Linked DNA regions of Schizosaccharomyces pombe. The protein of the gene in region 2 purifies or fractionates together with the protein of the main gene of each other region. This does not show direct contact. Each region holds a gene or a part of one and is shown on either strand. Other genes may lie near its edges.

The links.
Region 1: the proteins of mim1 (region 2) and atg43 purify together in Schizosaccharomyces pombe (affinity purification with western blotting; one study listed by BioGRID). This does not show direct contact.

Annotation. Positions count from the first base shown.
Region 1 is NC_003424.3:5,221,303-5,228,277, reverse strand, and holds atg43 (mitophagy receptor Atg43), read left to right. Parts: upstream 1-2,228; 5' UTR 2,229-2,306; coding exon 2,307-3,041; 3' UTR 3,042-3,669; coding exon of another isoform or gene 3,670-5,094; 3' UTR 5,095-6,475; downstream 6,476-6,975. Other genes in the region: Smc5-6 complex SMC P-loop ATPase subunit Smc5, read left to right, coding at 1-1,872; uga1 (4-aminobutyrate aminotransferase (GABA transaminase)), read right to left, coding at 3,670-5,094; SPOM_SPAC19D5.10C (uncharacterized protein), read left to right, coding at 6,559-6,567, 6,637-6,891. UniProt on the Schizosaccharomyces pombe protein: Mitophagy receptor that tethers atg8 to the mitochondrial outer membrane to promote selective autophagy.
Region 2 is NC_003423.3:880,372-884,534, reverse strand, and holds mim1 (MIM complex subunit Mim1), read right to left. Parts: upstream 2,076-4,163; coding exon 1,860-2,075; 3' UTR 620-1,859; downstream 1-619. Other genes in the region: SPOM_SPBC713.07C (polyphosphatase), read left to right, coding at 2,883-4,163. UniProt on the Schizosaccharomyces pombe protein: Component of the mitochondrial outer import machinery (MIM) complex that mediates transport of proteins into mitochondrial compartments. Promotes the insertion of tom70 into the outer mitochondrial membrane.

The DNA.
Region 1 (6,975 bases), on a different chromosome or scaffold from region 2:
GAAGCACCCGCATACGGCCCAATTTATATGAATTTGAAATGTAAGGAAAAAGGGTTTGCAGCTTTGATAGAAGGGTTTTTTCGCACGGATACGTTTCGAACATTTATAATGTCAAATTATAATGATTATCTAAAGTTAATGGATCTTATCACTTCAAAAACTAAGTACACTCCTACTATAAGAGAATTCTCCAGTGAACGAAAAAAGAAGATAGAAGATTTTGAACCTCCATGCTCTCGTGAGAAGCTTCAGTCTTTCGGGTTTGACGGATATGTGATCGATTTTTTAGAGGGGCCAGAAGTGGTTTTGGTTGCTTTGTGCCATATGTTAAAAATTCATCAAATTCCGATTGCAAAAAGGGAACTACCTCCCGCATCAGTGAATGCGTTAAACAATTTTCGTCTGGCTAACGGGGATCCAGTTCTTAAAACTTACTTGGCGGGCTCATCTATCCACTTGGTTTTTCGTTCAGCTTACGGTGATAGAGAAATTACTAGGCGAACAGACCCATTACCTTCTCGCAGTATATATTTTTCCGAGAACGTTGAGATGGATTTGGTAAAGCGAAAGGAGGAGCAACTAAATGCTCAACTCTCTCAATTGGAAAATTTACAGAATGAGGAAAGAAAGTTACAAGAAAAGGTAAATGAGCACGAATCGCTGCTTTCTCGTACAAACGATATATTATCTACTCTACGAAAAGAGCGTGACGAAAAATTAATTCCTATTCACGAATGGCAACAATTACAAGAAAGAATAGAACACCAAACTCTTCTACTAAGACAAAGAGAGAAAGTTCCTGAGCAATTTGCAGCTGAAATTGAAAAAAATGAAGATATCAGGAAAGAGAACTTCGAAGCTCTTATGAATTCGGTGTTAAAAGTTAAGGAGAATTCAATTAAAGCTACGAATAATTTCGAGAAGATGTTGGGAAGTAGACTTAATGTCATAGAAGCGAAATACAAACTTGAAAAACACGAGATGGATGCCAACCAAGTCAACGCTCGATTGACAGAAGTACAAGATCGTCTTAAAGATATTACCGATAAGTTAGCCTCAGCAAGGGAGGATGCTATGTCCTTGTACGGTTCAGTGGTTGATTCATTGCAGACACAATCATCTGACAGACAAACGGCAATAACTGAATTAAATGAAGAATTTGCTACTAGTTCGGAAGTGGATAACAAAATTAGCATCGAAGAAACGAAACTGAAGTTTATGAATGTTAATAGTTACGTTATGGAACAATATGATGCGCGTAAAAAAGAAATTGAGGAACTAGAATCGAAAATGTCAGACTTTGATCAATCCGTTGAAGAGCTCCAAGACGAGATGAACTCAATCAAAGAGGATTGGGTTAGTAAGTTAGAGGAGAATGTTCAATGTATTAGCGATAGATTTTCTAAAGGAATGAGTGGAATGGGATATGCTGGAGAAGTTCGACTAGGGAAATCCGACGATTATGATAAATGGTATATCGATATTTTAGTACAATTTCGAGAGGAAGAAGGACTTCAAAAACTTACGGGTCAACGACAATCTGGTGGAGAACGTTCTGTATCTACTATAATGTATTTATTATCTTTACAAGGTTTGGCAATTGCTCCGTTTCGAATAGTTGATGAAATAAATCAAGGAATGGATCCTCGAAATGAACGAGTTGTGCATAGGCATATCGTCAATTCAGTGTGTGACAACGCTGTTTCACAATACTTCTTAGTCACTCCAAAGTTATTACCAGATTTGACATACCATCGAAATTTGAAAGTGCTATGTATTTGTAATGGTGCTTGGTTACCAGCAACTTTTAGAACATCCCTTTCTACCTATTTTGAAAAGTTAAAGAAGTCCGCACTCATTTCTTCGTCATAAATGCTACATTACCATATTTGTCTTGTTGGCATACTTTTTCTTAATTTTTGATATTTGTTTTGTCCGATGGTGTTTTGTTTACTAAAGAATTTATTTTATGAGTTTTAAAATTTTGCATACGAAGTTACCCGTTAGTCATTTCGTTCCTTAGAGTCACCGAAAATTTGACCGTTAGATTTAATAAATTAATAATATCATTATCTTTAATTATTGCTTTCAGCATCCTGACATTTAAAATGTTATATCTTTATTGCTTAACTTATTCAAAAGATACATGTGCCCTTAACGTAGTTTTGTGTAATACAATTATCGCGCAACACCGTAGATGTGGCGCTATCGGGAATCCATATTAACGTAAACAACAAAGAATTGGGATCATTCTTGTGCTTACCCATTTCTGTTCATTAGACATTGATTTTAGAGAAGCTTTATTAATGTCTTCTGAAAGCAAAGGAATACCAATTCCCCGCTCTGATTCTAACAAAACCAGCGACGTTAGTTCGTGGGAAGAAGATTACGAATTGATCAGCTTAGGCTCCAGTCAAGACGCTTTGCAAAGATCAGGCATTCGAAGTGCTCATGGAGATTCAGGATACGCGTCTTCTCCACTGCGAATGGAACATTTGAGTTCATCCACTATAATTATCAATAATCAACTAAAGAAGATAGACGTGAACGAAAGTATTCCTGAGAACTCAACGTTGCATAACAAGTATGAACTTGGTGCTGTAGAGAGCTCAACAAGTTCTCTTAGTTTGCTCCAGAGTAAAGAAGAAGATGATAGCAGTAATTGGGAAACTGAGGATTCAGAATCTGCCGTCGAAGAGGCAGAGCTTCCCACTATATTCGAGGGAAAAACAGTGATATCTCCTAGTAGCTCTGGTACGGATCACAGTGAAGCTGTCGAATATACTGTTCCTACAGCTCCCCCAATACCGGACTTGCGATTCCAACAGTCATATCTCCAATCTATTCAGCGTGCAAATGGGTCTGCCTTTTTAGTTGCATTAATTACTCTTCGTGATCACGTTCTATATCCATTTTTAAGCGGAGGGATGTGGGTTTTTGTTCGCCATATTTTCCAATTCTTAAAGCTCCAAGAGAAAGGGTTTCACTTTGGCCAGTCGCTTCGCCGGAATCTGGGCTTGTTTTCTACCTTCAAGGATTAATCCACGTTAGATTAAGTGTTATAGAGCTATCCAATTGCTCTCATCAGTTTTTTAGTTTTCTTATTTCCTTTGTAATGGCCCTATTCTATTGATATGAATTTTATAAGTTTTTTTAACACCAGTCATTTCCCCCTTTTTGTCTAGCACACTTTCATGGCAAATGATTTTTTTAAAGATTAATGAAATTAAAGCAAATGTGTTCTAGTAGGTTTGCCAACCGAGCATCGTCTCAATTCTTGGGTAACAACTATAAATTTGTTTTTTCCACCTTTTGCTGCTAATTAGTTAGCATTTACGGCGTCACTTTTATTCCAACACTACTTCATTCTCATTGCCAAGATAGCTAGCAATATAATCAGTCCTAACTATTAAGCTACTATATCACAATTTCAATGTTTGATAGAACGATTTGTTTTTCTCTTCATACAGCGAACAAATTTGTATCTGATAGAAATCATATATTTTTGACTATTATGATAAAATTAACTAATATTAAACTACAAAACAAACAGAACAGCAATATCGGCCATCCAAATTTTAGTTGACATAAATGCGGAATAGGTGTTCATGGGAACAAAAAGTGTGATCTTTCTTTTTTTTTCTGTTTTTTTACAAAAAAAGGGAAAATTTAAATCAATTCGTCAATCTTCTTGAGAAGGATTTGAGCATGGTGCTTTTGGAATACAAGCATAGGACGAAGACGAATAGCAGCTACACCACAGCCACCAATGTTGACACCATTAATTCTCATGTCAGCACAGAATTTGTCACGGGCTGCAGGAGACTCACAATCCCAAGCGATAAAAGTACCCTTTCCCTTACCGCGGAGGTTGTTGATTTTGCCAGGGTGCTTACGAGCAAGCTCTTCAAGTCCAGCATACAAGAAATCGCCAACAGACTTGACGTTATTAAGGAGATCCTTGTCTTGAATTTCTTGAAGAATATATCTAGATTGAACAGCACGGAATGGGTCACCCATCCAAGTATTGAAGTGCTGATAAGCATGAGGACGAAGAGCCAAATCATGATAGAAAATACCGGCAGCCTGGAATTTCTTGGAAAAGGTAACCATGTCAGGAGGATAGGGTAAATTCCATTGCTCGTGAGCCCATAAAGTACCGGTAGAGCCGACACCAGTTTGGACTTCATCGACGATAAACTTGACATCATGCTTCTTCAAAGTAGCTTGAAGCTTGTGGAAAAAGTCAGGAGAGGCATGGTTGTCACCACCCTCAGATTGAATGGGCTCAATGATACAGGCAACGACAGGGCAATGGTGGTTAGTTAAAATTTGCTCGACCTGGTCAATGCAGCGTTGCTCCTCCTTTGCATTCTCTTCGACGTGCTCTTCCAAAGGATACTTCAAAGCAGGGAAATCAGCTTGAGGCCATGGGAAAGCAGGCATACCAAGCTTGTGAACAGGCTTGGAGCGAGTAGTGGAAAGAGAACCAAAGAGACGTCCGTGGAAAGAGTGACGGAAAGAGAGAACAGCAACTTCGGGAGATCCAGGAGCAGCGTTGTTTAAGCAGCTCTCGTTCTCTTCAGCAGTGTAATCACCAGTAGGTCTAGGCTTGTTGTTGAAATGATGAAGCATAGCAAGCTTGTAAGCAATCTCGTTGGCATCACTTCCACTCATTTGAAAGTAAACATACTTTTGACCCTTGGGGGCATATTTGATGGCACCCTCATAAGCGACACGAGCCCATTCCTTAGGAGGGTAATTTCCCAAAGCAGGACGGTTCATTAAAATGGTAGCGACTTCGTCCGACTTGGCAGCCTTGAGGAGAGTAGGATTGTTGTAGCCAATGGGGATAGTAGCGATTTGAGAGTAAACATCCAAGAGAACGTTACCATCCAAGTCGACAAGATAGTTACCAATGGACTTTTCATAGTCTACAGGAAACTTGACAGCGCTGATGTCGTGGTATTTGGACATTTCTTCAGCAGCGGCCTTACCTTTGGGACCGGGAATAGTTTCGGTCTTAATGCTAGGGCCTTGAGGCTCATTGGGAAAAAAATGAGTGCTTTCAGTAACGGTGGCAGTAGAAGACATGTTGAATAGAAAAGTATAGTCTAAATGGAGGAGAACCTTAACTTAAGGCAGTAGAAAGTAAAATTAAAAAAATAAAAATAAAAAATAAAAACAAATGTTTACAATGAAACTCTTTTGCTAAGTTCTATGCAAAAGCAGGAAAAAAAAGAAACAAAAAAACAAAAACCTCAAAATGTGAATGATAATACTTTGTTTTTTAAAAAAAGATGCTGTTTTCGTAGGAAATCGCTTTCCTTTTATAATTCGTCTCGCACGACAAATTTCCAACTTTTGATTGCGGATTTTAACCTTCTCAATTACAATCTATGCTCGGGCAACATTTCCTAAACTTCCCATATCCAGCTCGCTAAGCGGTGATAGATAAAAAATGTGGTCGGTACACTTGGCCATCGGCAACCGATACCAATTTGCAAGGCAAACGATTTTCTATGGGGATATTCGGATGATCGAAAGAAACAATAGACGAAACTCATGATTTCATCTGCGACTTTGCATCCTTCAGAAGGTTGGCAAAAACGAACATCGAGGTATCATTGTAGATGTAAATGAATGTGCATGGACAATTCTGATGAATATGTTCAAAAAATTATCAATCACGATGGGCAAAAGGAAAAAATTTCACGGAGATAGCAAAACGCTCGGATTGCCTTTGAAAGGATGAGTGGAAAATAAATCTTTAGATTTTTATTAAGTTAAAGAGAAAATCACTTTTTTTATCAGTTGGGATTGAAACGTTTGGGACAAACGGTAGGCGGTTTTAGCACAGGTGGCCAAGATATGCATGCGTATAATTTAGATTTTTTCATCTTTGACATTAGCGATACTAAAGCGTTTCGATACGAAAACGTTGCGATACAAAAACGTTAAGAATATTGTTTAACTAATGGTTTTTGATCCATGGGTTTATACCACATAGTCAATTAATAAGTACTTGTTTTCAAAGTGTCACAAAAACATCTGGGATATTAAGAGTGAATATGAGGTGGAAATAGTAAATTCTAATGCGTCCCCTTCATGAAATACATTTCCTTTTCTCTTTCAAAATTACCCTACATTTGTAGCTTCTACCAAATTACTTTTCTAATAACAAATCGTTTGTATTTCTCTTTCCTTTGCTTCCCTGTAGAATAACGCACTAGGGGGGTTTGATGACACGCTATATAGCAATTTATAAGTTATTGTCTAAAATGTTTACAACCATTCCTCGTTTGATATTTGACGAAAGGTTCGACGATCGCTTCAAGTCACTAACACTCCATAATTTAGCTTGACCAAGCTTGATCAATCTTTGGACTGATAATTTTTTGATAATCTTAGGTTAGCGTGAATGAATTGCGCGTCATAATAATAAGTTAACGTGATCAAAGGGATTGCAAATCACCACTTAACATATTAAAACTTGTAATCCTAATGTATATTTACGTGCAGTCATTGATATTTGTTATATAATGATAGCAGAGCTAAATGTACACGGTATATAAAATAAAGATAAGAATGGTAAAGCACATAAACTAGTAGATAACGTTTTACATTAATTTTTAGTCAGCGTCTCTTTTCTTTATCCAAATTGTAATTAGCATTTTCAATAGTCATCTTGCCGTATTGTATTCTATCGCATTGTGTTATTCGGTACAAGGTAGAATCTTAGGTAGCTCCACCACCAATTTCGTGCACGACAGCACAATTGGTGTAAAATCCAGTTGGTCGAGACATTTAATTCATGGTATCAATATCTTTTCTTTTTCCATCTCTCTTTTTCTAATATTTCTGACTATTCCCTTGTTTGACATTGGGTAAACCACATCTGCTTTTTCTCTTTGCACTCTTTACCATAATATTCCAAGTCTATGCGTACATTGCTGTTGAAATCTTTGAACTTCA
Region 2 (4,163 bases):
TTCTTTACAACTTCAAACGGATTAAATAATCCGGTTTATTAAAAGACTCAACTAGCTTTGACTATGCCTATACTAATGAGTTTTTAATCGATCAATATATTATTGTGACTTAGTTCATCTAGCGACTGCTTTTTTTCATAGTCACTATTGAAGTAACAGTATTTTTTTGCTATATAAAGTGGTATTATGGTCACTTTACATTACCGTACTCGCTCAAGACAGTGCGAATAGGAAGGTTTTTTACCCGCATGGTATTTTGCTATGCATTCGTATTTGCTATTCACTGAGCGTATATAAATGAATGGATCTTTTAAGAGCTTGCTAACAAGATAACCTACTTGTACGCGAGTGTCAGAAGGTCCACATATTTGCTATAGATTAAAATTTATTATTACATTTAAAACAGATTCGTTAACAAAGAACCTTTTGAAATTACTTGAGTTAATGGTTTATTCTTTTCGCGAAATTCTATATCGCTGTAATTTGTGTGATCGTAGACTTCCTATTTGTGTTGGATGCGTACTAAAGTTTGCTTGGAATCCTGTTAATACATGTTTTTAAAAACCACTGAAAGTGTATAGCAATGCTTGTAGAGCGTATATCCAAGATTTAAATAATATGCTATGTAATTCTGTGCGATGGGTAATATAGTTAATTATTTAAATAGCTATAAAATATAGAACGACTACTGTTTAGGTTTGTCCATGCTACATCTTGGAAGAAAATAGAAATATAGTATTCTTGTTGGCTAATGCAATAAATCTTCAAGTTTATATAGCAAATTGTGAAGTCAGTATTCGTAAATTTGACAAAAATTTAATGATAATTTATTTTTTCAGATTTGCTGACTTTAAGTAGTCGGTATCTGCTTTTTATGCATAAACAAGAAGATTCAGTTCGAGGATCAGAATCCTTTTTTGTATCATCAAACTTGAAATTGTCTTATAACATCATTAAAGCCAACCGAGTGTACCAAGCATGCGATAATGTAAGTTTTAAGAATCATTCAAAAGTATATTTTTCAAAGCTTGAGCAACGACAGAAATAACCTGTAAAATTCTAATGAATCAATGGGCTGTGCAATCAATTTATAATCAGTTGAGATTTGTTGCTCTGAGAATAGTAATACTTACACGCCTTTACAAATAAGCGTGTTTTAGTCATTAAGTTAGAGCACTATCGTTGTTCGAATACAATAACAATTATTTAAAAAAGCGATGTGATGAGGAAAACAACAAAAAGCGTAGTACTGTCATTCAAATCAAAGTAATGTAAAAATAATGAACAATTTTAAACAATGATGATAGCTTCGATACTTGTCTCACAGCTCATATAAATCTTCGTTGACACCTTTTTCTATACTATGCTACTCAAATCAATTTGTCGGTCCGAAGAAGCGATGTATAACGTGTCACATAATGTTAATATAAAGGGCATAAATAAAATCAAAAGTAATTATACTTAAAAAACAGAAGAAGGAAGCTCAAGGAAAACGATCATAAATAAATTAAATGCAAAGGAAATTAAATGTTATTTTGCAAATATAAACACAATTCATTTGGGCTTAATTCGTTTTCCATCCCTTGAGCATATATATTCTTTGCATTGTGCCAAAGAAGCTCTTAATATTGTGGGAAAAGAAAATAAAAACAATAAAACTAAAGAAAACGATCATTAAAGAGAGTGCAAAGCTGAAACCATAATACATCTGAGAGAAACATGAGTTAAGCATTCGAGTATCTCAAATTTTATGAATACTCGCCTCAGCTTAAAATGAAAAAATAAAAAAATCACGAATAAGCAAACACCATTTCCCTCAAATATTAAAGATAAATTTCCTCGCACAGCTATGCTTCATTTTAGGCTTGAATATACTGATGTCTTTGAATAGAATAAATCCTAGTATGACCTGGAGCCCAACCAAGAGAGTGGATAAATGCATGAGCAAAGATCTCCCCGAATCCCAACATAACTCCATTCAAGAAAGGAAGGCCCAAATTAATTGCCGCATACTTGAAAATATGAATAACTTGTGAAAACAAGGTTTTTGGAACTGTAACTGTATTTTTCTCCATCCTGCTTGTCCAACAAATACTATAACGAAACGAACCAACCGGTAATCAACACAATTTTCAAATAACTCCTTTAGAGAAGTTTTTATATCAACTTTCAAAGCAATTGCACGAATAATATTTTTGGCGTAAATTCTATTATTAAGAATCAACTGAGTTGATGGGGCAAGTATATGTGGAAGGATACTTTATTCCCAATCAAAATTACGAGTGTCCCGTTCTTAGATGCTGTCAACGCTTTAAGGCGTCAGGACAATGGTTAATGAGCAAAACACTTTCCTCCTTATTCATTTAACGAAATTAAGTTAGTAACTAATACCGTAATGCAAGCTCTGACAAAATATAAAATGCGACATCTTTCATCATACATATATAGCGGTGAACACAACATTCGTCTTCACTAGGGAAGAGTATCACGGATCTTTTAACTGCTTCCATTACGAGCATCGAATAGTCCAAACCCAAATTAAGTGTTCTCTGGGGTTTGCAAAGCTCAGAAGCAACTTCTATTGACTCTGCAGGACTTCGGTTCATGACTACCCGCTCGTGATCTTAATTTAGATCGATCTTTTTGTCAAACAGATTAACAATACTTATTTCATTAACGGCTACTGGGAAATTTTGATTTATTTAAGTTGTACTGAGTTCAAAAGCCCTTGAATCTTTCAAACACCATTTTTTGTTTTTGAAATTGCCTGGGAAATTGTATTACAGATTTTGGAAAATTTCGTCCTAGTCTGAAGTGTCCTCTTTTTTTCTACTTAGGTAAAGTTTTTTTTTCTTTTATATACCGATTTCCTTCTTTTTAGAATGCGTCCCTCTGTAATCACGGTTGCTGTTCTTTTTGTACAGTCGACATGGGCTTCTTTTGCATTTGGCAACCCTATGAGTATGCGAAATAAAGCGCATACAAATGATTTAGTTAATAGCAAAGGAAAACCACTTGTTGGTAGATTTTTGCATATCACCGATATGCATCCTGACATTTATTACGAAAAAGGATCCACCGTCGATCATTATTGTCATTCCTATGATCATAATTCTGACGATACTCCCTTGGGTAAAAGCAAAGTGGGTTACCTCTCTCCTGGTCCTGGTTATGAATGTGATTCTTCACCAGCATTAATTGATAAGACATTGGAATGGCTTAAGGAACATCAAGATGATGTTCTGGGAGGCATTGACTTCATACTGTGGACTGGTGATAATTCTAGGCATGACAATGATAACCATTTTCCAAGAACACAAAGTGAAATTCTTGCTTCAAATGAGGACTTGGTTAATAAAATGATAGAGGCGTTTCCTGACGTTCCAATTGTTTCCGCTATCGGGAATAATGATATATATCCTCATAACATTATGGAAGCTGGTCCATCTTCAATGACTCGACAACTAGCTGGTGCTTGGGATGCTTTAATTCCTTATGAGGAACGACACACTTTTGAAAAGGGCTCTTATTACCTATGTGATGTGATTCCGGACAAGCTAGCAGCAATTTCCATTAACACTCTTTACCTATCAAACAAAAATGCCGCGGTCGATGGTTGTCCTGATGATAATCTAGACGAACCTGGTTCTCTTTTTATGCGATGGTTCAAAATACAGCTTGAAGCGTATCGGCTAAAGGGAATGAAAGTTTGGCTTCTAGGACATATTCCCCCTACAAGGGGCCAGTGGTATGAAGATTGTTATACTTCTTTTACGGATTTGCTTTATGAGTTTCGAGATATTATAGTTGGACAACTCTATGGTCATATGAACATAAACCATTTTGTGTTTTTGGAATTCGATAAGTTACCTGTTGATACAGAATCTTATGGAATCAAAAGTGCGCAACCAAAATATGTAAAATCTTTAATTGATGCCCAATACGCGGAGCTTCCTACATTTCCCGAGAATTTAACAGAGGAGTTTCTTAATGGAACCGTCGGGAATTACTCCTTGGCTACCGTTGGTGGTTCGATTATACCTGAAATGTTTCCAACTTTTCGCGTTTACGAGTACAATATTTCTGATATTGCTAATCAGCTGGATGATCGGGAAGAGCTAACTGAAATCACTTCTTTTAACTGGGAAACGCTTGAAGAGCAG